Linked DNA regions of Coturnix japonica. The main gene of each other region encodes a partner of the protein of the gene in region 4 in a complex. Links are inferred from orthologs where the notes say so. Each region holds a gene or a part of one and is shown on either strand. Other genes may lie near its edges. The genes, in order: CNOT2, CNOT7, CNOT8, CNOT9, CNOT10 and CNOT11.

The links.
Region 1: CNOT9 (region 4) and CNOT2 share a complex: the UniProt entries of both Homo sapiens proteins name them as parts of the CCR4-NOT complex. The link is inferred for Coturnix japonica from reciprocal best matches to the Homo sapiens genes CNOT9 and CNOT2.
Region 2: CNOT9 (region 4) and CNOT7 share a complex: the UniProt entries of both Homo sapiens proteins name them as parts of the CCR4-NOT complex. The link is inferred for Coturnix japonica from reciprocal best matches to the Homo sapiens genes CNOT9 and CNOT7.
Region 3: CNOT9 (region 4) and CNOT8 share a complex: the UniProt entries of both Homo sapiens proteins name them as parts of the CCR4-NOT complex. The link is inferred for Coturnix japonica from reciprocal best matches to the Homo sapiens genes CNOT9 and CNOT8.
Region 5: CNOT9 (region 4) and CNOT10 share a complex: the UniProt entries of both Homo sapiens proteins name them as parts of the CCR4-NOT complex. The link is inferred for Coturnix japonica from reciprocal best matches to the Homo sapiens genes CNOT9 and CNOT10.
Region 6: CNOT9 (region 4) and CNOT11 share a complex: the UniProt entries of both Homo sapiens proteins name them as parts of the CCR4-NOT complex. The link is inferred for Coturnix japonica from reciprocal best matches to the Homo sapiens genes CNOT9 and CNOT11.

What each region holds. Positions count from the first base shown.
Region 1 is NC_029516.1:32,450,366-32,453,865, forward strand, and holds part of CNOT2 (CCR4-NOT transcription complex subunit 2), read left to right. Parts: intron 1-1,022; coding exon 1,023-1,170; intron 1,171-1,794; coding exon 1,795-1,977; intron 1,978-3,500. UniProt on the Homo sapiens protein: Component of the CCR4-NOT complex which is one of the major cellular mRNA deadenylases and is linked to various cellular processes including bulk mRNA degradation, miRNA-mediated repression, translational repression during translational initiation and general transcription regulation.
Region 2 is NC_029519.1:56,937,584-56,941,083, forward strand, and holds part of CNOT7 (CCR4-NOT transcription complex subunit 7), read left to right. Parts: intron 1-1,198; coding exon 1,199-1,360; intron 1,361-3,500. UniProt on the Homo sapiens protein: Has 3'-5' poly(A) exoribonuclease activity for synthetic poly(A) RNA substrate. Its function seems to be partially redundant with that of CNOT8.
Region 3 is NC_029528.1:5,997,883-6,001,943, reverse strand, and holds the start of CNOT8 (CCR4-NOT transcription complex subunit 8), read right to left. Parts: upstream 2,801-4,061; 5' UTR 2,709-2,800; exon of another isoform or gene 2,420-2,708; intron 2,044-2,419; 5' UTR 1,958-2,043; coding exon 1,841-1,957; intron 1,339-1,840; coding exon 1,145-1,338; intron 446-1,144; coding exon 284-445; intron 1-283. Other genes in the region: FAXDC2 (fatty acid hydroxylase domain-containing protein 2), read left to right, coding at 3,583-3,824, 3,910-4,039. UniProt on the Homo sapiens protein: Has 3'-5' poly(A) exoribonuclease activity for synthetic poly(A) RNA substrate. Its function seems to be partially redundant with that of CNOT7.
Region 4 is NC_029522.1:24,240,973-24,245,119, forward strand, and holds the start of CNOT9 (CCR4-NOT transcription complex subunit 9), read left to right. Parts: upstream 1-1,347; 5' UTR 1,348-1,456; coding exon 1,457-1,480; intron 1,481-3,082; coding exon 3,083-3,262; intron 3,263-4,147. Other genes in the region: USP37 (ubiquitin carboxyl-terminal hydrolase 37), read right to left, coding at 785-940. UniProt on the Homo sapiens protein: Component of the CCR4-NOT complex which is one of the major cellular mRNA deadenylases and is linked to various cellular processes including bulk mRNA degradation, miRNA-mediated repression, translational repression during translational initiation and general transcription regulation.
Region 5 is NC_029517.1:37,323,541-37,327,040, forward strand, and holds part of CNOT10 (CCR4-NOT transcription complex subunit 10), read left to right. Parts: intron 1-513; coding exon 514-675; intron 676-917; coding exon 918-1,068; intron 1,069-1,834; coding exon 1,835-1,980; intron 1,981-2,886; coding exon 2,887-2,973; intron 2,974-3,500. UniProt on the Homo sapiens protein: Component of the CCR4-NOT complex which is one of the major cellular mRNA deadenylases and is linked to various cellular processes including bulk mRNA degradation, miRNA-mediated repression, translational repression during translational initiation and general transcription regulation.
Region 6 is NC_029516.1:120,253,613-120,257,795, forward strand, and holds the start of CNOT11 (CCR4-NOT transcription complex subunit 11), read left to right. Parts: upstream 1-1,383; 5' UTR 1,384-1,455; coding exon 1,456-1,867; intron 1,868-2,013; coding exon 2,014-2,178; intron 2,179-4,183. UniProt on the Homo sapiens protein: Component of the CCR4-NOT complex which is one of the major cellular mRNA deadenylases and is linked to various cellular processes including bulk mRNA degradation, miRNA-mediated repression, translational repression during translational initiation and general transcription regulation.

The DNA.
Region 1 (3,500 bases), on a different chromosome or scaffold from region 4:
TTTAAATTCTCTGAGGCTTCCTCAGCAGCCTCACACCAAAGCGATAGGACTGTTATTTATAGCTATCGCGTTTTAGATGCAAGCATGTTTCTGTTGATCTGCTGCACTAAATGGCTTTCTCTTGTCTTTGGACATAATTTTAAAACTTCATGAATACAGAAAAGGAACGTGGAAACGATCAGAAGCTCTGTAAAGTATTCTGACGTTTTGAGACTGGTTGTTTTTTGTTCTTCTGAACTGAGATGGTTTCTTTTTATCGCGCGTTAATAAAGTACTTTCGTAATTTCACAGCACCCAAATGCTTGCATAGAAAATAATTTTTATGACAATGTAAAAAAAAACAAAACAAGCAAGCCCCCAAACCAGCCCTGTGTGCTTTTAATTCCTAGTTGAGGATGCTTAAATTCTACTTGCTTTCAGTCCTCAAAAAATTAAGTTTAACCTGACTTTGGACACTGTAATTGCCTTAACAAAAAGAAGCAACTCAGACTTTATAGAGAAGTGTCCTAAAATATTCATTCCGATGCTCTGAAAGCCATGTTATGAAATATTCCTAGTTTTATTTTTTCTTAGTTATAGGTTTGCGTATTTTTTGACAAGCTAGATGGACGTTCTAGATGCTGGCCAAATATGTATCCATTTATTCAATTGCAATAACCTCGTTCTTCAGTGGAGATGTTTATTTTCTCAGAACACCGACTTTTTAAATATGTGGATTTCCATGTAGATGTCCTCGTCAACAAAACCACAGCTCCCCCTCTTCTATTCAGAGTACATCTCAAAGGAAACAAAATCTTGTTAGTGACTTAAAGAGCCTTTCTCGAGTTTGACAAGAATGGGGCTATGTGTGAGGTAACTGGGCTTGTAGTACGCAAGCAAGGACTTCATATTACGCTGCACTTTCCTACAGTCTTTACACTTTTTGAGGTTGTCAGCATAAGTTGTTTCCATCCACACCTGATGGCTAAGACTTTGTTCCGGATCGCTATGTATCTCCACCCCTCTGAATTTTTTTTCAATAGGTGCACTAGGCCTTCCAATGAGGGGAATGAGCAACAATACCCCTCAGTTAAATCGCAGCTTATCACAAGGCACTCAGTTACCGAGCCACGTAACGCCAACAACAGGGGTACCAACAATGTCACTTCACACGCCTCCATCTCCGAGCAGGTATTTATTGATAGCCAATGTTTCTGCAATTGTGTCTTTCGGCAGAGCACTTACTAAATGTTCTGCGTATCGTGCCACAGCTACTTTTAGACTGATTAATTAAAAAAGAAAAACAGTAATTTTTTATTGACCACTGCCTGTGTTAGGTAAGTAATACCGTAAAACGGTAGGATAAGACTTAACTTAAGACAGTGTTTGATTTTGTATGTAAAGGATGTAAAGTTGTTGGCAAATTCTGCTTCAGAATGTAAGAGTCTGTTTTTCAGTTGTTCTGGTAAACAAATGGTAAATGTTTTTATATGGCTGTATTACAGTATGAAAATATTAAGGTAGTAGGTCTGAAGTGCTCTTTAAATAAGAGTTGTAACGCCTCTTCAAAAGCATAGTACTTAAGTATTTATCTGAACCTGACCGAGGACTTGATTGGTACGCAATGGGTCATCTGGTGTTTCTGAAGAAATCCAAAACTACGTTAATTATAGAGAGTACTCCAAACATACAGTGTTGAGTCTAAGCACAAATTAAGTTGCTACAACTCTTAAGTGTATCCTACATGAGTAATTTAAATGAGTAACCAAATACTATTGTACAGATTCATCTCTGTGGATGGTTTTTCTCTTTCAGGGGGATATTGCCTATGAATCCTAGGAATATGATGAACCACTCCCAGGTTGGTCAGGGCATTGGAATTCCCAGCAGGACAAACAGCATGAGCAGTTCAGGGTTAGGCAGCCCCAACAGAAGCTCTCCAAGCATAATATGTATGCCAAAGCAGCAACCCTCTCGACAACCTTTTACTGTGAACAGGTAAGGCTGTTTGGTCAGACCATGCCTGTGCAGCCATGGGCGTGCTTAAGATCTGCTTTCAAAGTCTATTTTTTTATCCATTAGAATAAAACTTGAAAGTGTTGCTTTGCGTCTTCCGGTCTCTCAACGCTAACTTTCCAAGCTGCTGTCAGTAGTTGTGCAGCCATTTTTGAAGCCTTTCAGCTAAATTCTGTTTCTGACTACTTAATTTCTACTATTCCTTCTTTAAAGTATGTGATGTTTCTAGTATGTTCCCAAGTTTATTTTTGAAACAGACTTTGTTTTTTGTATGTATACATCTTCTTGAAAACTCTCCATCTATGAGTTTGGGAAGAATTTAGTCAAGAGATAATCCAGAATAACTGTTTCAAATTGTGGTTCTGTAAGAATAGTTAACTGATTTGGACACAATGGAGACCTCATATTTTACTTTAAATTCTGGAATAATATGGAAAGCAGTGGTTTGCAACTCATCCAAGGTGCTTGTTTTGATGCCAGAATTTTCTCAGTTACTTCTGCTCTTTTTTTCTAACTCTGGGCAAGATTGTGGCATCAGAAATCATTGTGCTTTACCTGTCTTGTTGATATGTTTATGCTTAGTTTATATTGATAACCTTGTAATAAAATGTGTGTCAATTCCAATTACATAGTGTGTAATCAGCTTCATGCAGCTGACTGTTTTCCAGACTTCTTTCCGGAGCCTCATGATCCCTGTGTTCCCAGGTCATTCCTCTTTCTCGCTTCATGCCCTAGGCTAGGGGACTGAGCTCAAATACACTCCTGGCAATCAAATGCTACCTCTAACCCAGTGTAGTATTTTTACTAATCAAATGAAAAAAAATGGATGCCAGTTATCTGAAACTTGATCAGTCTTCTTAATTCTGTATCTTTGCATTATGATGTAGGCATAAGTAACCTCTTTCTTCATCACAGCAATAGAGGTTTGATAATAGTAATTTGTGTTCTTGGAGTATGAGAAGACTTTGGTCAGAGACCACTCTGAAAGTAATGCCTCCTATTTTATTTCCATGGAAACTACAACAGATATAGAGACTATAACAACTATAACAACAGAGAATTTGATGGAGCAAATTCTCAGCTACGAAACACCATTTTTCAACATAGTCACTGCTGTTAGCTATGCATATTTGCCCATGATGAGCAAGACCTTGCATGCCATGCTTGTCAAAATCTGCACCAGCTGAGGTGACCCACTCACTGCCTCAGTGTGCTCACACCCACTGTTTGGTCTCCGTAAACATTCAGTAAGTTCCAATGGAAGCCATTTATTCCAGATGGAGGAATTCACTTCCACACCTTTGCTTATCCGTGCTTCCATCTCAGGTGCCATTGTGTCAGACTGCCCCTCTGCTGCCTTCTGTCACACAGCAACAACATGTAACAGAATATTGGTGGGATGGTTCAGCCCCCACTGCCATACCACCAACATCTGCTTCTGATGTTGTGGGATAACACAGTAAAATAGGAGGCATTTCTTAAAGAGCGGCCGTTGTGTCTTGGCC
Region 2 (3,500 bases), on a different chromosome or scaffold from region 4:
CCTGATTAGTGCAGAGGAACAGACTAGAAATGAACTTCTATTTATTTATTTAGAGCATGATAGGCATGTTTGTTTTGGATGGCTCTTTAATGTGTTATGGAAATGGACAGGTGTTGGGAAGCTGATGCCTTAAAGCTGGGGAACTAATGAGCAGCTGTGTGGGAGAGAAGGAAAAAAAGATACAAGTCCTGAGAATGCATTTCTCTCTTGATGAGTTATGACTTGCTATTAGGAATAAGAAATGTAAATCTACAGCTGAACCTAGTAGTCCAGTGCGTATCTGTTTTATTTCTTGAGGTGTTTTTTTTTCCCCAGTAAAATAGAAAAGCGTATAGTGGAGAGACTTTGTGAAAGAATATGTTATAGACAGTAATACGGATAACATCTAAGTAGAGCCAGCTTTGTTTTTTTTTTTTTGTTTGTTTGTTTTTTTCTTCCCCATTATATATTTCAGTGATTTTGAAGATTAGATTGTACTTTTAAAGTTTTATCCATTTCATTACAAAATACCCAAGAGTTCATAAAAATGGGGGTGGTGAATGAAACAAATGCAGTAATAAAAGGGATCAAGTAAAGCACATTGGGATTTTTTTCCCTCCCTGTTGAACTGTAGGTTCAAAATCTGTCTGTTAAAGAGAAGCTGAAGTTGATGATTTAGAACAAAAATGATAGACTGAATTTCAAGAGTTGACTTACTGGGGCAAGTACTGAATTTCTAATTGTAATGAGGGGGTTTGATGAGAATTGATGCAAGCTTAAACTACAGATAAAAAGAAGGGGTTTGAAAGCAGAACCGATCCAGCACTGGAATTTGGATATTGATGTTAAATCTTTAATATAGCTGGTGTCAGTGCTCCAACTGTTTTGTTACTGAATGAGATCTGTTACCTTAAACTGTAAGGTAACTACATTTGTACACGCAGAGTCTGCAAAAAGGGAGTTCTGTGTAATGAGAAGAGGAACAGGAAGTAGATTTTTGTGATGGAGACTGGAACAGAATTGCTAGGAATAATTGACTGCTAATGAAAGTTAACAAAGCTATGAAAAGTGGTCCTTTTTATAATAAACAAGGAACAAATTCAAGTTGCTGCACCTCTACTGCTATTATAGTCTGTGTAATGGATGGGGAAAAAGAAGTGTTAATGGATTTGTAATCAGCGAAGCCTGTAGATTGAAAAAATGTTCTCTCTGTTTTTAGAGAAGATATGTATGCACAGGACTCTATCGAGCTGTTAACAACGTCTGGTATCCAGTTTAAAAAGCATGAGGAAGAAGGAATTGAGACGCAATACTTCGCAGAACTGCTAATGACATCAGGAGTTGTACTATGTGAAGGAGTCAAGTGGCTTTCATTTCACAGGTAAATTTTGCATGTTAAGTAATTGTTGTCTGTTTTGGTAACCGGGTTTTATGTCTCCTGTTTTAAGCAGCGTACATCTGCAGGTACATATCATATATCTTAATTGGTAAGACTTAGGAAACTATTTCTGCAATGTATGGTGTTGTGTGTTAGAAAAGTAGAGTGTATGGGATGGTAATGGCATCGATAATGGCTTTTTAACAGCAAAACTGTAAGCAAACAATGCATGGAACGCCTAGACCAGCAGGTGGCATTGTGTCTTTAATATCGGGTGTGTTTGCATAATAATAGTAGTGGTGATTTAAAAACAAACTATTTGTAAGCATTTCCTGAGCAAATATAGCTTGTTTCATGGGCAATAGCACAGAATTATTAGTAAAGAGTTTTAGGAAGCAGAGTTATACTTATTGTAGATCTGTTAATATGGGCAGATAAAAATTCTTCAGTTTAGGAGAGCCCTGGTAGAAGTCTTAATTCAAGCAGCAGCAGTGAATATACTCTATCATTCATTCTATTGCAGGAACATATTTTCCAAGTAGAAATAGAAATGAGAATGCCAAAATTCTGTGAATCTGTCAAGATGTGAGGACAGGCTGAGAAAGCTGGGTTCTTCAGCCTAGAGAACAGAGGGCTTTGGGGGGAGGACCTTATAGTGGCCTTCCAGTACCTGAAGGGGGCCTACAGGAAAGCTGGAAAGGAGCTTTTCCTAATGGCATGTAGTGACAGGACGAAGAAAAATGGTTTTAAACTGGAAGAGGGTAGATTTAGACTAGATATTAGGAAGGAATTCTTTACTTTGGAGGCGGTGAGATGCTTGAACAGGTTGCCCAGTGGGGCTGTGAATTCCCCTTCCCTGGAAGCACTCAAGGCCAGGCTGGATGGGGATCTGAGCAACCTGGTCTAGAGAGAGGTGCCTATAGCAGGGGGTTGGAAATAGATGGTCATTAAAGATCCTTCCAACTCAAATTGTTCTATGATTCTATGACCTTCTGTTAATAAGACTTAAACCTTTAAGACTTAGGCATTAGTAATTGCATGTTCAGCTAGATGCCGGGGGTAGCTTGCACTTTTTACAGGCAACAGCAAGTTTAGAGACTTTTTGCTATGTATTGAGTATGTATTGGCATCTTAAATGCTGTTCTCTATGCAAGTCAGCAAAAGTAGAATAAATTTTTTAGCTGAAAATTGGAGGTTTCTTTGCAGTCATTCATATTTATCATGTGTGTTACATTGGTGAGTGGTATTATGTTTGTTATCAAAACTGGAGGGGGGAAACAACAGACCAAATTCTTTGTCCTTAACTGTGAAGTATTAGAAGGGGAGTTTGGAGGAGAGAAAGGTGCATGAAGTATTTAGTCAGAAGTATTTAAGCAACAAGTGGAAAATTGTACATAACAAGGAAAGTAATTGTACGCTTCCCCTTGTGGAAAGAAAAACGAGGAATGAAACTATACAGATGTAACATCTGAATACAAGCTTAGATGAAGATTCTTTGTCTTCGTAGGGGCTTAGAAAGGCATGTTGTTACGTCTTGACACCTGGCAAAGCTGTGGTGCTCAGTATGTGAATTAATGGCCCCTTATACTAAGATTCAGTAAAGTTCAAAAGATTTCTATAAATAATGATATTAAAACAAAAACATTTTGTATAGGGCTGTTAAAGACTCAGATCTGATTGTCTGAAATCATTAAGCAATATATTCCTTAGTAGAAACACTTCTCCCGTTGGACTTTCTTAAAAAATCATCTGTAAGTATGCTTGTTGCCTAATCTGCTTCCAGTGTCTTCCATTCAGGGCTGTCTGCTTATGTTATGTCTTCTCTCTTGAATAATCTTTCTCTGTCTTTCAACTCCAGCAGCAGCTTGGGGAAAATAATGGAATAAGAAATGCCATTGACTGTTTCAAAATAGCCCCAGATTCTGAAGGGGTGTTGAATTAAGTTTCTTTCCTCATTTTAAACCCATTATTAAGTGCAAATTTATAATTTACACATCACAACAGCAGAATAACTCGGGTTGTTCAGGAGAAGAGCTGAGGTATGTCAGGCCTGCAACCTGTGTACCAACAGGTGTTGGCACGAAGAAGCAACTACAGCTATCAAGTGTTGTTCTGCTGTTAACTTAAAGGATGCAGTGTAACC
Region 3 (4,061 bases), on a different chromosome or scaffold from region 4:
ACATTCGTCTCATTAGGGTGTTTTTCTATACTTACAACCTTCTTTTCCATAGAGGAAGATAACAGCAAAACACGCACAAAATACAGATCACAGAAGGTGCTGAGATAAAATGAAGTACCAGTACTTAAAGTTCGCCTTTACAATTTAAAACTTATATTAAGAACTGCACAGCTGCTAAAATCCATCTCCTTAAGGTCTGTTAGTCTCTATGGTCCAAAGCAGCACTATTTAAGCCAAAAAGAGGCATCTTGTTCTGTAGTACCAGTAATCACCTCAGACCTACCTGTGAAACGACAGCCATTTCACGCTGTCACTAAGGACGACCCCTGAAGTCATGAGCAACTCAGCAAAATGCAGGGTATCAATCCCTTCTTCTTCATGCTTCTGGAACTGCAGCCCAGAGCTTGCAAGGAGGTCTATGGAATCCTGAGAGTACATATCCTCCCTGAAGGAGAAAAGCAGAGCTTTGCAGTCAGGGTGCTAACAAGGAAGGCTCATTGCCAAAAGATTTCTCACAAGTTGCATTTTGGAAAATCAGAGTGACCTGCAGGCAATCCATCTCTGAGCTCCATGGCTGTGTCTCTAGGAAGCTCAAATCACTTTTAATACCATTACTCCTATGCATTTAACAAGCTATTCTGCAATCTTAACCAAATATTAATTCTGTCGCTATTGCCAAACCTGAAGAATGCCATAAAACCTTCACACAACAGACATCTTGAAAAGTAACACTGAGGGAACAGAAGTGCCACAGATGATGGGAGAGAAGTCAACAAAACTCATATCAAACACGATAACTTTGAGTCACAGTGTCAATAAAACTCAAACCAAACATGATAACTTTGAGTCAAATAGCGTTCAGTGTCAAAACCTCTTTGTTATGACTCCAATGCTTTTAGGAGGCTGACAGTTGTGCAAGTAAACACTGCCACTTCTGTTTGCAAGAACTGCATGATCAGCTTATAGTAAGTATATAGTAAGTATACATGCATTTAATTGATTACATAAAATATATGGAAATGTATAAAAAGCACGTAAAGTTTGAGATCATAACATCATTCCAGAAATACTGCAATGCCTGTCATGCCGGCATTGAGCCTCACATAATCTCTTCTGGTGTTGCTCCCTAATGCAGAAGACTCACGTGAGGTTGAATTTGAAGTTAAACTGCCAGGTGTTGATCCCAGAAGGATACTCTCCTTTCTCGTTTGTGAAAGTCAGGCCCAGTTGGATGATTTTCAGAAGGTCCACATTACAGCGAAGAAGCTGATACTGATAGTCTATGGAACTGCGGAATTCCCCAATCGGCCTTACAACAACCCCAGGAAACTCCGTGTCCTAGAAAAGGAAGAGGAAACCTTATGGCTGCAAATCAAGGCAGACCCTAACGACAAAGCAAGCAATTTGTGCTCTCAAGTCAAATGACATCAATTGACTCAGAACACACAAAAACTTTCATAGAGGATCCAGCACATGAGAGAATTTTTGCCTTCACATCTTCCTGTACCCACTGCCTCAGCACAGCAATTACAACAGGCCAGAATGAGATGATATTGAAGCAAGGCAGCTCGTTTCCAATCAACATACAATATGAAATATGTAGATACACATTTACTGTTTACTTACACAACTTTGTTCTGCGCTGAATTCTATGCGCTCTGAAGGCACGTGTATTTTTACATCATGCTTTCATTACAAATTTCTCTCCTATCTTTGAGTTTAGCATCCCCACTCAAAGCTGTCATAACCACCACAGAATCATCGACTCTGGAAAAGATCTCTGGGTCCAACTATCGTTAGCCCCTATTCCTTGAATAAGACAAATGAGTCAAGCATTTACCATTGCGATGTAGCTGTAACTCAGCACAATCTCTCGGATTTTCCTCATCTCCTCCTCCAGGTTGTTGGCCCACACCTCACAGATCACCTGGCTGTTCTCCGCCAGGGCTGCTGGCATCCTGCCGGGCACAGGGCACAGCCAGCTCCCCCCAATCCTTCAGATGGCCGCGTTACAACCGAAAGCTGCGAGATCTAATCAGTGTGCTGCAAGAAACAGACAGAACGGAGCTATGAGTGAAAAAAGAGCTAGAAAAAAGGAACGAGCTGCACAATACAGCACAATACAGCACAGTACGGCACAGCACAGCACAGTACGGCACAGTACGGCACAATACGGCACAACACGGCACAATATGGCACAGTACGGCACAATATGGCACAGTACGGCACAATATGGCACAGTACGGCACAATATGGCACAGTACGGCACAATATGGCACAGTACGGCACAATATAGCACAATACGGCACAATATAGCACAATATAGCACAGTACGGCACAATATGGCACAGTACAGCACAACACGGCACAATACGGCACAGTACGGCACAATATGGCACAGTACGGCACAATACGGCACATCATCACCACCATCGGCCTCCCCGAGGCAGCCGCCAACAAACAACGGCCCAGCGCCGCCCCAGGCCCGGTTGAGGCCTACACGACCCGCGCCGCCTCAGGGCAGGGGCCCACCCGGACACGGCCGCCACCGCCGCCCTCCACCGCACCGCGAGAGGCCCCGCACCTACCGGGACCTACCGGGACCCGCTGGGACCCTCCGTGCCTCCCTTTCCCGTCCCGTCCCGCCCCGCTCTCCCGCTGCTCCGCTCCCCATCTCCTTCCCCTCCCCCAGGCGCTACCTGCCCTACCCGGAAGTTGTGGCCGTGCCTCTCTCTCTCTCTTCAGCGCATGCGCGATGACGCCTCAGGCTGAGGTGGGATTTCCGGGTTTGGAGCTTTGTTCTCGCGAGATTTCCGGTACAGCCTCAGCGGCGCGCGGTGCGGTGTGTGGTGGCGCGCGCTTGGTGCGCGCTCCCGCGGAGGGGGAACGGGGAAAGCTGCGCATGCGCAGTGCTGGTGTCCTTGTGTGTCCGGCCGTGACGTGGCGCTGCGCTGTGACCCGGTGTATAAAGCAAAGCAAGGCATCCTTTAATCTTAAAGGCTGTAAATCCCTCAGATAGAAGCTATATCTGAACTGAACGGGGGTTAAAATGAACGCTGACATTGCACAGTTCACTCTTATCGCCTGCTTTAGCATATTAGATGAATTATGTCACCAGAGCGAGCCTAAATAACATGCAAATAACCCAAATAACTGGGCAACCTGTATATGGGGTAAGTGGTGCAGATTGGGGCCATATCTGCATCAAGTTACACCTCGCAGTGCTGTAATTACAGGCGTTGTGGTCTATAAGTGCATTGAAACACCACTGAGCACAACCACATCGGAACCTGTTTGCATCTCATCCCATAGACAGGACCTATAGACGGAGCTTTGATGCAGGGACAGCTGGTGCAGGTTATATATGTAGTGAGATGTGCTGCTGGCTTTACAGACTGCCCCGTAACTCACACGCATTGCACAAATGCGCCTTTGAGCCATTCGGTTGCATTGGCATCAGCTGCTTTGTGCTGAAAACACTAGTTAGTTTCTGGTAGAAATGACTTATCGTTAAGGTATAGCTGCCTTTTTTATTCACATATACAGCCATTCAACCCTGATGACAAACTCCTACCTACAGAGATGTATTCTGAGCACTGGGCTGAGTGGCAACAGGGAGCAGTGCCAGCACTAACAGTGACACGGTGCTGGCTTCACATGACTTGTCTGGGAGGGGACAGCCAACTCCTGCTTGGAAACACCCCGCTGTTAAACCCTCATAAAGTCTCCCCAGCAGTAGTGAAAGGTGAGGAGTTGTACTGTGTACAAAGGACCTCTACTGGGCTACAGCCAGCAGGAGGTGAGCAAAGAGACGGAGCTCAAAGGTATCGTGGCTTAAAAATACCCGATTGAAACCTTAGAAATAACTAAAGGGCAATGTCCTGTGTATGTTTAAAATACAACTGTAAGCTTTTCCAGGAGCTGTAATTGCCTTCTGAGCTATGCAGGGCTTGGCACAATAGGGGAGCCACCAGACACAGCATCTAGTCCTGTATCTGACTGTACAGCGTGGCTGATGCACAGCTTTTGTGGACAGCAGGTAGGTTATCCTTATATTTTCT
Region 4 (4,147 bases):
CCTTCTCTCCATTAATTCTGCTGCACCACTGTATTACGACATGAACCAACTGCTGCTTCCTGCCAGGTCACTCACAAGGAGGTGGAGGTGGAAAAGGAACCATACGTGTGTCAATACAAAAAGTCATTTTCAACTCCTGCGTCCTTTTGCACTTAGTTATTCATCTCTGTCACTTCTGTGGCCTTTCCTATGAACTACACGCTGCTACACAATGACATCCTTGCAAGTTGAAACCACAGCCAAACCTCGCACTGCAGAGCAAGAGGCTGCCCATCAGATTGGAGCCTCCTCCTAAAGTGGCCCAACCTGAGTATTGCCACACAGCTGATCCAAATAGTGATGGCCAATCCAAGTGAAAACCCTTCTCCAAGCTCCCACAGAGCGCCAGAGCCAGAAGAGAGGCAGACACAAAGCCTATCCCTGCAGGCATAGACAGCTGCTGGGCAGGCTCCCACAGAACCACAGCTCCAGGCGTTAAACTACCAACAGCAAAACTCAACCTGGTAGAACAGAGCATGAACGAGAACCTTGGGAAGGCACATAAGGAATAAAGGAGCACAGCACCATGGTCAAACAGTGGGATTCCACCTCCAGGCTGCACACAAAGAGAGAACATCCCAAAACAAGACTTGAGCCACGGCTCCACACCTGCAGCTCGGCCCTTCTGATCCAGCAGATGCCATAACACCAGAACTGAGTAACTCAATGCTACACCGAGGGATGGCCCTACTGAAGGAGGCAGTATGAGCAGTGACAGCCGGTAACCGGGCACGGCAGCACCCACCTGGAAGGTCTTTGGGATGCCCCTCATGCCGTAGTGCACCACCAGGTTGACTTTGTTATCCTTCTCCACCACCTCGAAGCAGCCCTCCTTCCACCTGGTCACTCCGGTCTGCATGCAGTACAGCCTCACGGGGCCGTGTACTTTCAGCAGGGCCATGGCGGGGCCTCACCGACACAACCTGCGGGGATCACAACACGTGTGGAGCGGGACCGCCACGGACCGGCACTCACCGACACGCCGAGCCGCGGCCTTCCCGGGAGTAAAGCGGGGAGAAGCTGAGTGGGGTCGGTGAAGGGGGAGGCGGCCCCTGTGGACGCGGCCCCGTCACGGTGTGTCGGTGCGAGGCCCCGCCGTGAGGGGCCGCGTTGGCTCCCGGTACCTGCGGGGCGCGGCGCCGGATGGCGGGAACCGGCTCCCCGCGCGACGCACGGCACGCAGGCGCGCGCGCGCGCCGCTGACGTCAGCACGGCGGCGCCATTCCCGGCACGCCCCGCAACTGCGCATGCTCAGAAGCGGTGCTTTGCCTTTCCCCCCTCCCACCGGCGCGCATGCGCAGTTAGAGAGCGGCCTGCTGCCCGCTGCGGGTTGTGCGCATGCGCAGCTCGCCCTCCTGCAGGCCGCGTCCCCTTCCCGGTGTGTCTCTATGGCGGCGGGGGCCTGAGCGGCGGCACCATGCACAGCCTGGGCACGGCAGCGGTGAGACGGCACCGGGACGGGGATCGGCCTCTAGGGGGGGTAACGGGGCTCTAAGGGCTACTTCGGCGGCCCAGCTCCTCGTTCGGGTCTCAGGAGACGGCGGGAGGGCGAGGGGGGGGGAGGCCGCCTCAGAAGTTGTGTGTAGGCCTTGGGCTTCCACACAGCTTTAGGGTGAGCAACAAGGAAAGAGGAAATGAGGAGGAAATGCGGCTTTTGGTTTTAGCTAGAATGGTGACTGAGCATAGTAGAGCCTTTGGGCTGGGGAGATAGCAGGACACGGGGAAATGGTTTTAAGTTGAAAGAGGGAAGATTTAGGTTGGATGTTAGGGGGAAGTTCTTCACTAGGAGAGTGGTTAGGGCCTGGAACAGGCTGCCCAGGGAGGTTGTGGATGCCCCGTCCTTGGAGGTGTTCAAGGCCAGGTTGGACGGGGCCATGGGCAACCTGATCTATGGGGTCTCTATGGGGGTCTATGGGGGTCTATGGGGTCTCTATGGGGGTCTATGGGGTCTCCTGGGCAACCTGATCTAGTAAATGTGTATGTTTGGTGGCCCTGCCAGGCAGGGGGGTTGGAACTACATGATCCTTGAGGTCCCTTCCAACCCGGGTCATTCTGTGATTCTGTGAGATAAGACTGATACTGGACATTGTAAGCTTAATAGCTTGGAAAATCTGCTTAGTGCTCCCTAGGGATCGTAGACACACCGTTGTGCTTTTAAAGGGTCGATATATTTAAGCTTGCAGGAATTGAAACTTACAGAGAGTCTGGCAAAATAGATGGAAGCTTTAGATAACATGGCTATAACAACGTTAGTGCTGCACTGCCATCCCAAATGGAAACAAATGAGCTCAGTCTGTTCGCCCTCTCTCTCCCAGCTGTGGTATCGGTGTTACCATTGGGATTGTGTTCCTTGTACAGCAGATTGTTAGGGTTATTATTTCTGTGTGAGGTTCTAGGGGGGGGAAATGAAGTAAAATAGAGTAGATGAGGTAAAAAAAGGGGATAGGAGGAAAGGTGAGCAGGTAGAAGGTATTAGAGGCCTGAGATGTCGGGATTGGTAACAGCATATCAGCTTATATTGTAGCCTAAATGGCAACTTCAATCCTCTATATATCCCACAGGATCATAAGCATAATGTGCGGGTAGCTGAGCAGGGAAACTGCTGTAGGAATAGGAGAGAGAAGGAAGGCTCTGGGGGGGTGTCCCAAAGACATGGTCTCCCTCCAGCAGCAATGGGAACTTCATTTGGGTTCCTGTTGCTGTCAGTTCCTGAGCTCTGTTGTGTTCACTAAGGAGCATTGCTGGCACTGTGGTACATGAAGCATTTGCTTTAATGCATGTTTGCCTCCAAATAGTTGGTCTGTATCACCACGCTGTCTGTGTAGGCCAGAAAGTGAAACATCTGTCTTTCAGCTAGGCGAAGGACTAAGCTTAATCTAAAGGATCATCTATATCCACAGTTTCTTAATGCAGCTTGAGTCCCTCCCTCCCCCAGCCACTTCCTCAAGACCTTTTTATTTCTTTACCTTTGAGGCTGTGAGAAGCGTTTGGGTGGGACTTTGCTGTAACAGCTGTGACTGAAGTTTTCCTGTCTCCCTCCCAGCCTGTGCCTACAGCACTGGCTCAGGTGGACCGTGAGAAGATCTACCAGTGGATCAACGAGCTGTCCAGCCCTGAGACGAGGGAGAATGCACTGCTGGAGCTGAGCAAGAAGCGCGAGTCTGTGCCTGACCTTGCCCCCATGCTGTGGCACTCATTTGGCACCATTGCAGCACTCCTTCAGGTGGGTAGGGCAGAGCTCAGCTTTGTTTCGTGGCACAGTGCTGCCACACTGCACAGCTCTGTGTGGCCACGGGGTGGATCTGGGGAGGCGCTGATAGTCCCTTCGTGCAATTACTGTGAGTATGATGGCTGCTGGATCACATGGTGAGAGGAACCACACAAGGAGGGCACTTCTAATGTTTTCCATTAGTCATTTCTTGCAAGGTAATGTCCTTAGAGACCAGGCCATAAGATTGTTGATGAGATGGCTTAGACAGGTGAAAGGGGAGTAGCCGAGTTCTTCTGTGTATGAACTTCTTGTAGATAATATTCCTTTTCTATTTGTAGTGGCATAGCAGAACCACAATAGTTTTACTCCTAACATCTCTGCTTTGTGCTGTGGAGTTTTTTTTCTTTATTTTCCTATGAGTCTGAGTACTACTTGATCAAAAGGTTGCCATTACAGAGCCCTCATGGGGGCAGTATGGAAGTACTTGTAGCTCACTGCTCCAGAGTACCTTGCAAAGAAAACTAAGTGCATTTCTGGTCAAAGCGAGTGGCTCAGCTGAGCTCTGGGTAAACTACAGCTGATGTCTGCCCACCTCTGCTGGATCTTGTCATTTCATTTGAAGAAGAAAGGAAAATGGTGCAGGATAGGCAATGGCAGACTGTGAAAACAGGGTGGCCCTGAAACAAGTGAAGAAAATGCTAAGGGAGCCATAGCTGGAAACAGACAGTTTTCTGAATTGGATTTCTCACCTTCAGCTGCTTCCCCTTCATTGAGTTAGAGGAGTACCAGCAGCTATGGTATGAATGAAGTGCGTGTGCTCTGCCTCTAGGCACAGGAGCAGCATTCCTCTTTGCTCCAAGAATTCAAAACAAAGTCATCCCCACATCCGCAAAGAGC
Region 5 (3,500 bases), on a different chromosome or scaffold from region 4:
GGGAAAGTTAGGAAAGGTGTGTAACCTTCCTCTTCTGCCGGCCTGTGTTAAGCAGACATCCAGGGGCTAAACTGGAACTCAGTCTGAAGATGAAGTGAGAGACAAACATAAAAAGGTGGGCCACGAGTTAGACAGGCAGCTGCTCAGTGTACGTGTGATGGAGACAGATTGTGGAAACTGAGGAAATAAAGAATCTTGAAGCTTGATATAATGACGCCAAAAGAACAACAGTTTTTGTAGAAACATGTTTGTAATAGTTAACTGTTCTATTTGTTCTTTCTCCATTGAATTCTTGTTCAGTTTTAGTTAGGACCTCAGCTTTGACTTGCTTCTCATACATTTCAGTCTGCATGACAAATGGAGTTGGTGTGGAGCTGTTTACTTGTGTTGGTCAGGGAAATCCTACATTGCTCTCTAGACTCAGAGAGAGGAGGAGGCTGCCATTAAAAATTATTGACTTATTAGAGGATACAAAGTTTAAACTAATCCCTTTGTGATGCCTGCTGTTTCCAGGCGGGAAATTATGATGCCTGTTTGCAACACCTGAACACCCTTCAAGACATAAACAAAGATGACTACAAAATAACTTTGAATACTGCAGTTGCAGAGTTTTGTAAAAGTAACCAGACCACAACAGACAATTTGAGACAAACCCTGAACCAGCTGAAGAACCAGGTAATGCAACCACTGCATGATATTTAAGCATTGTTAATGGGGATGGGATCTTCCAGTGAAATAGGAAGACAAGTTTTGCCTCTTCCCTTTGTTAACTTGTAACTGTTACTGCCCTATCTTTAGGCTCATTAGTACCTTTGGATTATTTTTCTATAATAAACATTTGATGCTTTAACATCATAAGTTTGGAAAGCTTAAGGATAAACAAGATTCAGTTCTGTGTGTTTTGGGTTTTTTTTCAGGTTCACTCTGCTGTTGAAGAAATGGATGGTTTAGATGATGTTGAAAATAGTATGCTTTACTACAATCAAGCTGTTATTTTGTATCATCTGCGTCAGTATACTGAAGCTATATCAGTTGGAGAGAAGCTGTACCAGTTTATAGAGCCTTTCGGTGTGTAGGCAGAAGAGTTTTGTTTGTGCAGTAACGAGGCAGAGTAAATGATCTTCCTCTGCTTATCAGAAAAGTGACTTGTAAACGTACATAATAGTAATAAAAAAAAGACAGGCTTAGGAATGATGAGTAATCTTTACTTATAAGGACAGCATTTGAATTTGGGTGGGAAGGTGCTTCAGAGACACTTAGCAGATGAGTATAACAAAACTAAAACAGATATTTGACAACTTCAGGAGGTATTTTATGAAGCAACAGGGATGAAGTGTTTGTATGTGTGGGTCTCAACAAATCCAGTAAGTATAATGCTGTTTCTCCCTCAGTTCTCAGTATGCCTGTGTGGAGCTTACTCTGTGAAACCAGCCATGCAGAGATGTGTTTGTATGGAATCCTTAAGTTCTGTAAGATTCTGTATAGGCTTATGGCCCATCAGTCTCTTTAGACGCTGGATCCTTGGTGCCAGTGTGCTTAGATCAGTACTCAAAATCAATGTGAAGTGATTTTTAAGCTGTCTTTGGTCTTTGCTTTCAGATGACATGGGTATGAAAGAATTACCTCTTTGTGTTAACATACTTGTCTGTGTGATGTAGGTGTCTGCTTTTTTATCTTTTTTTCTTATTTAGTATTTGGTTTTTCTCATAACATTGTGTAGATGCACTTTGCAGCTGTTAAAGTGGTTTTCTAATTATTGCTTTTTTTGTTCTGTGATTGTTTAGATAGGAAGGATCTTACAGTCCTAATACTGATCTACTTTTGTTTGATATAGAGGAGAAGTTTGCCCAGGCTGTGTGCTTCCTGCTTGTGGACTTATACCTGCTGACTTACCAGGCTGAGAAGGCCTTGCATCTCCTTGCTGTCCTGGAAAAAATGATTTCACAGGGCAACAATAACAGCAAGAATGGAAAAAATGAGGTAAGCTTAAAATGGCATGAATGCCGCTGTCTTTACCAAAGGTATGTTTTTATTAAATCCAAAAGTAGTCTTTTAAAATAGTTCAGAATTTTAAAGCTGTTAAGATATCTGTAACTTCAGACAACTGCCACATTTTAATAACCAAGTTAATTGTGTACAGTAGCTGTATGTTCTTTCCTTCCCACCCTTTTTGTGCCAAGAGCTAAGAAGTGTCCCAAGTCAGAGACTTATATTAGAAAGTCAGTTGTCTTCAGTGCCAAATATACTTGGTTTTCCTGGTGTCCCAGATGACGACTGTGTGATACTCTGTGTTTGAAATGTCAGTGAAATTAGTGCCACAGGGTGAGAAGTCAAAAATTCCTTTAATGTATTGTCTGGAAGTATGAGGTGGGCTTTCAAATGCAATCTTTGATATGTACCTTTTGGAAACTACTATAGAATGGGTAGTGGCTTGGAAGTGGAAAGTGGACACTTTTGTCTTCTCCTGTTGATAAAATGTCACACTTAAGATACAACTTTATTTTTGAGTATATAATAGTTCTGCCAGAGAAAATATGGAGAAGAGAATCAGGAGCATGCAAACTATATTTCTGAATAAGAGCATTCTTAGAATTCCTCAATGCTGGAGCAGATTAGCGTAATGCTAACCTTCATATAGAGCTCTGTACCTCATAGGCTGATGTCCTCCTTCTTTGGTTTTGATTGCAAAGCTTAAGTTACAAGTTTTTGGTGGAATATATGGACATTTTTGTATTTGTTTGTTTTTCTTTTAACATTATTGAATATCAGTTTTCATCATTAAAAGAGATTGTTTTTACCAATCACCTTTTAAGTTCAGTTTACGGTTTCCTTCATAAGCTCCTAATGCTTTTTTATTTATTTCTGTTTTTTGTTTTCTTTTGACAGTCAGGTAATAATACAAATAAAGATTCCTCCAATCAAAAAGCTGAAAGTGGAGCTTTAATAGAAGCTGCTAAATCTAAAATACATCAGGTGGGTGTGTGTGTGATTTGTACAAGAATATCCATTCAGTCTTCCTTAAAACTGAGAGCTGCCTGCCTCAAATCTAGCTCAGCATGAATTGTGATATTGTCATCTTCAATTTCATTTTGTAGGTCAGAAAAATGAATTTAACTGACCCTTTTTTTTAAGATCCACGTACAGGAGAAACTGACCTAAGAAAAATCCCAGTTTCAATACCTACATCTTAACATAATTTTGTTAAATGGCATTTAGCTCTAATAATCTTACATTTGTTTGTCTGCAAGACAGTCTAAATCAGTGAGGTTTTATTTCCCAGTACTGCTCTTTGGGAAAATGAGTGAAGAAACAATATGCTTCACTATCACCTTTTGCTTATTGGTTGAACAGGTAACTGTCTGGGATTTACAGGTTAAATTATTTTAATTAATTTGTTGTTTTATGTGCTGATGTTTTGGTATTTGAATGTAAAGCTGTTGAATGTTTGCCAGTGAATAAAATGCACGTTTGCCTCTTGCAGATAGGAATTGTATAAATTT
Region 6 (4,183 bases), on a different chromosome or scaffold from region 4:
AAAGACCTTGAAGATCATCAAGTCCAACCACAGCCTAACCAGCACCCTAACTCTAACAACCCTCTGCTAACTCATATCCCTGAGCACCACATCCAAATGGCTCTTAAACACAACCAGGGATGGCGATTCAACCACCTCCCTGGGGAAAATAATAATAATGACTTGACATGGGCTGACACTTGAAAACTGCCTTAAAATACCCAAGTGTCACTACAGTTCACAGAAGCTCAAGAATTTATCACCAACCATGTTTGTTTCTGAATGACCATGGAACAGCACATATGAAGCCATTGTAAAATCGTATCTGGGGTGTTTTTACAAAATACATCCAAGAATCGCTTGACATCTTTGAGGTCTGATGAACAAGTGAAGCTCAGGAAGGCTTTTAGGCATTGTTAGCACGCCAATATTGTTGATTACTCCAGGAGTAATAAATCTGTTTCTGTTGTCTCATGGTAGGTTTTGAACTGAAGAGCTGAACTAGGAAAGATAACATGCAATGGTCACTAGAAAGCTGCATATGGAGAGGCTCACACGAAACCTAACTTCCCCAACCCTTTTAGATTTGTTGCTATTAAAAATACACTGTAGATGGGCAGGGTCACTTAAATTACTAAGGGAAGGAATCTGTGTACAAGAGAAAAGCCTTGTGAGAATAAACAAAACAATCTGGATGTGTTCTGATTTCCCCTTTGACTTCAAGGTGTGACTTAATTCCTTCCCATCGTGTTCTTCCCATGTGAAATGTGGGATAAAAATACACCAGTGGAAGTTATTTCCTAGCTGAAGGATTCAGCTTCTTCGCTAGAAGAAACTCAAACACTTGCTGTGAAGCAGGTCAATTTAATATCACTTCTTTGCCACCTTTTTCTTTCACCTCCCTCCTGCTGCCTATTTCTGTTGCTACCTGAGCAGAAGCACCACAGATCTACTTGAGAGTGGATGAGCACCCAGACAACTTGCACACACCAGAAGCACAAAATCCGCTGCTCAGTTTCAGGTCACAGAATCTCAGAATTGTAGGGGTTGGAAGGGACCACTAGAGGTCATGGAGTCCAACCCCCCTGCCAAAGCAGGCTCCCTACACCACGTCACACAGGTAGGCGTCCAGGCGGGTCTTGAATATCTCCAGAGAAGGAGACTCCACCACCTCCCTGGGCAGCCTGTTCCAGTGCTCCATCACCCTCACTGTAAAGAAGTTCGAACTTCCTATGCTGTACTTTCATCCCATTACCCCTAGTCCTATCAGATGACAGCACCACAGGGCGGTGTGCGTGGAACGCGCTGCGCTCCCCCTACTGGCCCCAACGCCCGTCGCGCTCCGTCCCCGCCCCGCCCCGCCAGTCCCGGCCCAATGTCCCGGCCCATCCCCTGCCGTGCCGTAAAGCGCGTCCGGCGCCTCAACGCTCGGCCTTCCGGTGTTGTGCAGCGGCGGGGCCGTGCGCCGTGAGGCGGATGCCCGGGGGCGGGGGCAGCCCGGCCGAGGCGGGCGGTGAGGCGGGAGGAGCGGGTGGCGGCGGTGGAGCGGCGGGCGGCAGGATGAGCCTGTCGCCGAAGGAGCTGACGAGCCTGCTGGGCATCGTGTCGGAGGAGGCGGGCGGCAGCACCTTCGAGGGCCTCTCCAGCGCCTTCCACCACTACTTCGGCAAGGCCGAGCATTTCCGCCTGGGCTCCGTGCTGGTGCTGCTGCTGCAGCAGCCCGACCTGCTGCCCAGCCCCGCGCAGCGCCTCACCGCCCTGTACCTGCTATGGGAGATGTACCGCACCGAGCCCCTCGCCGCAAACCCCTTCGCCGCTGTCTTCGCCCACCTGCTCAACCCCGCTCCCGAACGCGGCGGCGACGAGGCGGAGCGCACCCCGCTCTCAGGTGCCGGGAACGGCCGGGGCTGTGACAGCGGGAAGGGTCACTCGTTTTGCCGTAACGTTACTGTACGAGATGATCTCTCCACGCTTAAGGAGCACGCGGGGTAGTGATGGCCTCAGGAATCTTACCGCTCCCCTCTCTCCCCGCAGGCTTCTTGCCGCCCATAACCCCGCCCGAGAAGTTCTTCCTCTCGCAGCTGATGCTGGCCCCCCCCAGGGAGCTGTTCAAGAAGACCCCGCGCCAGATCGCTGCCATGGACGTTGGCAACATGGCCCAGTCGGTGGATATAAGCGGGCTACAGCTGGCATTGGCGGGTAAGGAGGAGATGTGGCTGTGCTGTGATAGGAGAGTGGTTAGGCCCTGGAACAGGCTGCCCAGGGAGGTTGTGGATGCCCCGTCCTTGGAGGTGTTCAAGACCAGGTTGGACGGGGCCCTGGGCAACCTGATCTAGTAAATGTGTATGTTTGGTGGCCCTGCCAGGCAGGGGGGTTGGAACTACATGATCCTTGAGGTCCCTTCCAACCCGGGTCATTCTGTGATTCTGTGAAATGTTAATTGCTGTTTGACTTTGAGGTGCTTCTGTCTGTGTGGCAAAAGTTGGACTGTGGTCAGGTTTTGCAGTGTTAGCTCACACTAAATGTTCTGCCTTTACTAGGCTATAAGGAACTCAGTGCTTATTCTTGGGCAGGAATAGGATTGTTCTGATCGTGTGGAGCAACAAGTTGCATCTAGAGCTGATCTGAAATGGAAAATATTGCTTAGAATGAGTTGCCAACTCGAGCAGTTTATTTCCTAGGTACTCTATTCTGCACAATACAGTACTTGGCTTCTAAACTTCAGTTCAGTTGGTGACGTACTGTAACAGGTTGCCCAAGGAGGCTGTGGATGCCCCATCCCTGCAGGCATTGAAGGCCAGGCTGGATGTGGCTCTGGGCAGCCTGGTCTGGTGGTTGGTGACCCTGCACATAGCAGGGGGTTGAAACCAGATGATCACTGTGGTCCTTTGCAACCCAGGCCTTTCTATGATTCTATGATTCACTGTGGTAACTTTTCTTGTAGGCTCTTCTATTGAATGTCAGTTGCTGGAATAGAGCGTCTTGATTCTCCAGATCAAGAGAGCCTGATAAAACATAAGTGATTGCATTCGTAGGAATTGTTTTCTTCAATTTGAACATACTGGTTCAAGTTGCTGTGTTCTCTTCTGAAATACAACCGTGTTCTAGCTAACAGCGCTCACCCCTTCCTTCTGCTTACACTGGGCTGCCCAGGGATGTGGTGGGGTCACCATCCCTGGAGATGTTCGGGAACATGTAAGAATGTATCTTAAACTTTTGTTCTAATTAAGCATCATTAGTCATTTGAGATGAGGGGATTTGAGGGTATACAACCAATCCATGACTTTATACCTATATAGGTGTAAGTTTTAGACTACGGATGACAATGAAGGACACCCAGTATGTCACCTTGTTTTCTTCTCAGAGAACTTCTTACGTTGACTCAGCTGATCCCTGTAGGAGCTGAATGGTAGAACTCACAAGCTGGAATTTCCAACAGCGTATAAAGTTTGAGCATATATTCCAGTGTTTTGCATGGGCTGACATAATTGGAAGATGGACATTTCTAGTATAAACTAGCAGTAGGCAGAGCTTTGTGTCTGTGTCCTTTTGTTACCTACAGGAGTTTTGCTGTAAGCGTCTCTCATGGATCTGAAATAGAGTTTCATACGGATGAGGAGCTGCAAAGGGTTATATGGCTGCACAAAAAAGTGTGCTTTGTTAAAAGAGATAAGGATGGGGTACTGAAGCTGAGGGCACTACACTTAATTAATCATCCGGATAAGAAATGGTGTTGATTTCGTGTGGGACCAGCAAATTTGGCCTTCAGATTACTTGAGACTTTATCTGCTACTTAATATCCTCCTTGGGAGGGGGAGGGAAGGAACATAAGATGGCATTGTATGGCAGGCTCTTGGCTTTCCTGCATGTTGTTGGGCTTTTGTTGGTTTGCTTTTACCAAGGTAATAGAAAACATGGTTCTCACTAATACAGAGAATATGGAAGGTCAGCCCTTAAGCCTTCAGGTATGGAAGAGCGAGAGACTGTGACAGAAGAACACCTAAAATTTGACAGTGCAAATATTGATTGGTTGTAATAGTTTATTTTACCACTCTTTCACGTCTTCAGCTTCATATGCTAAATTTAGTATTACTTCTATGTACCTTGTTTATGCTCTGTAATTTGGGCTTTAGAGGGATGCTCTTACAGGACTTTATAGCTGTAACTGTAGAATCCTGTATCAATTAAACTCCTATGCAAAAGC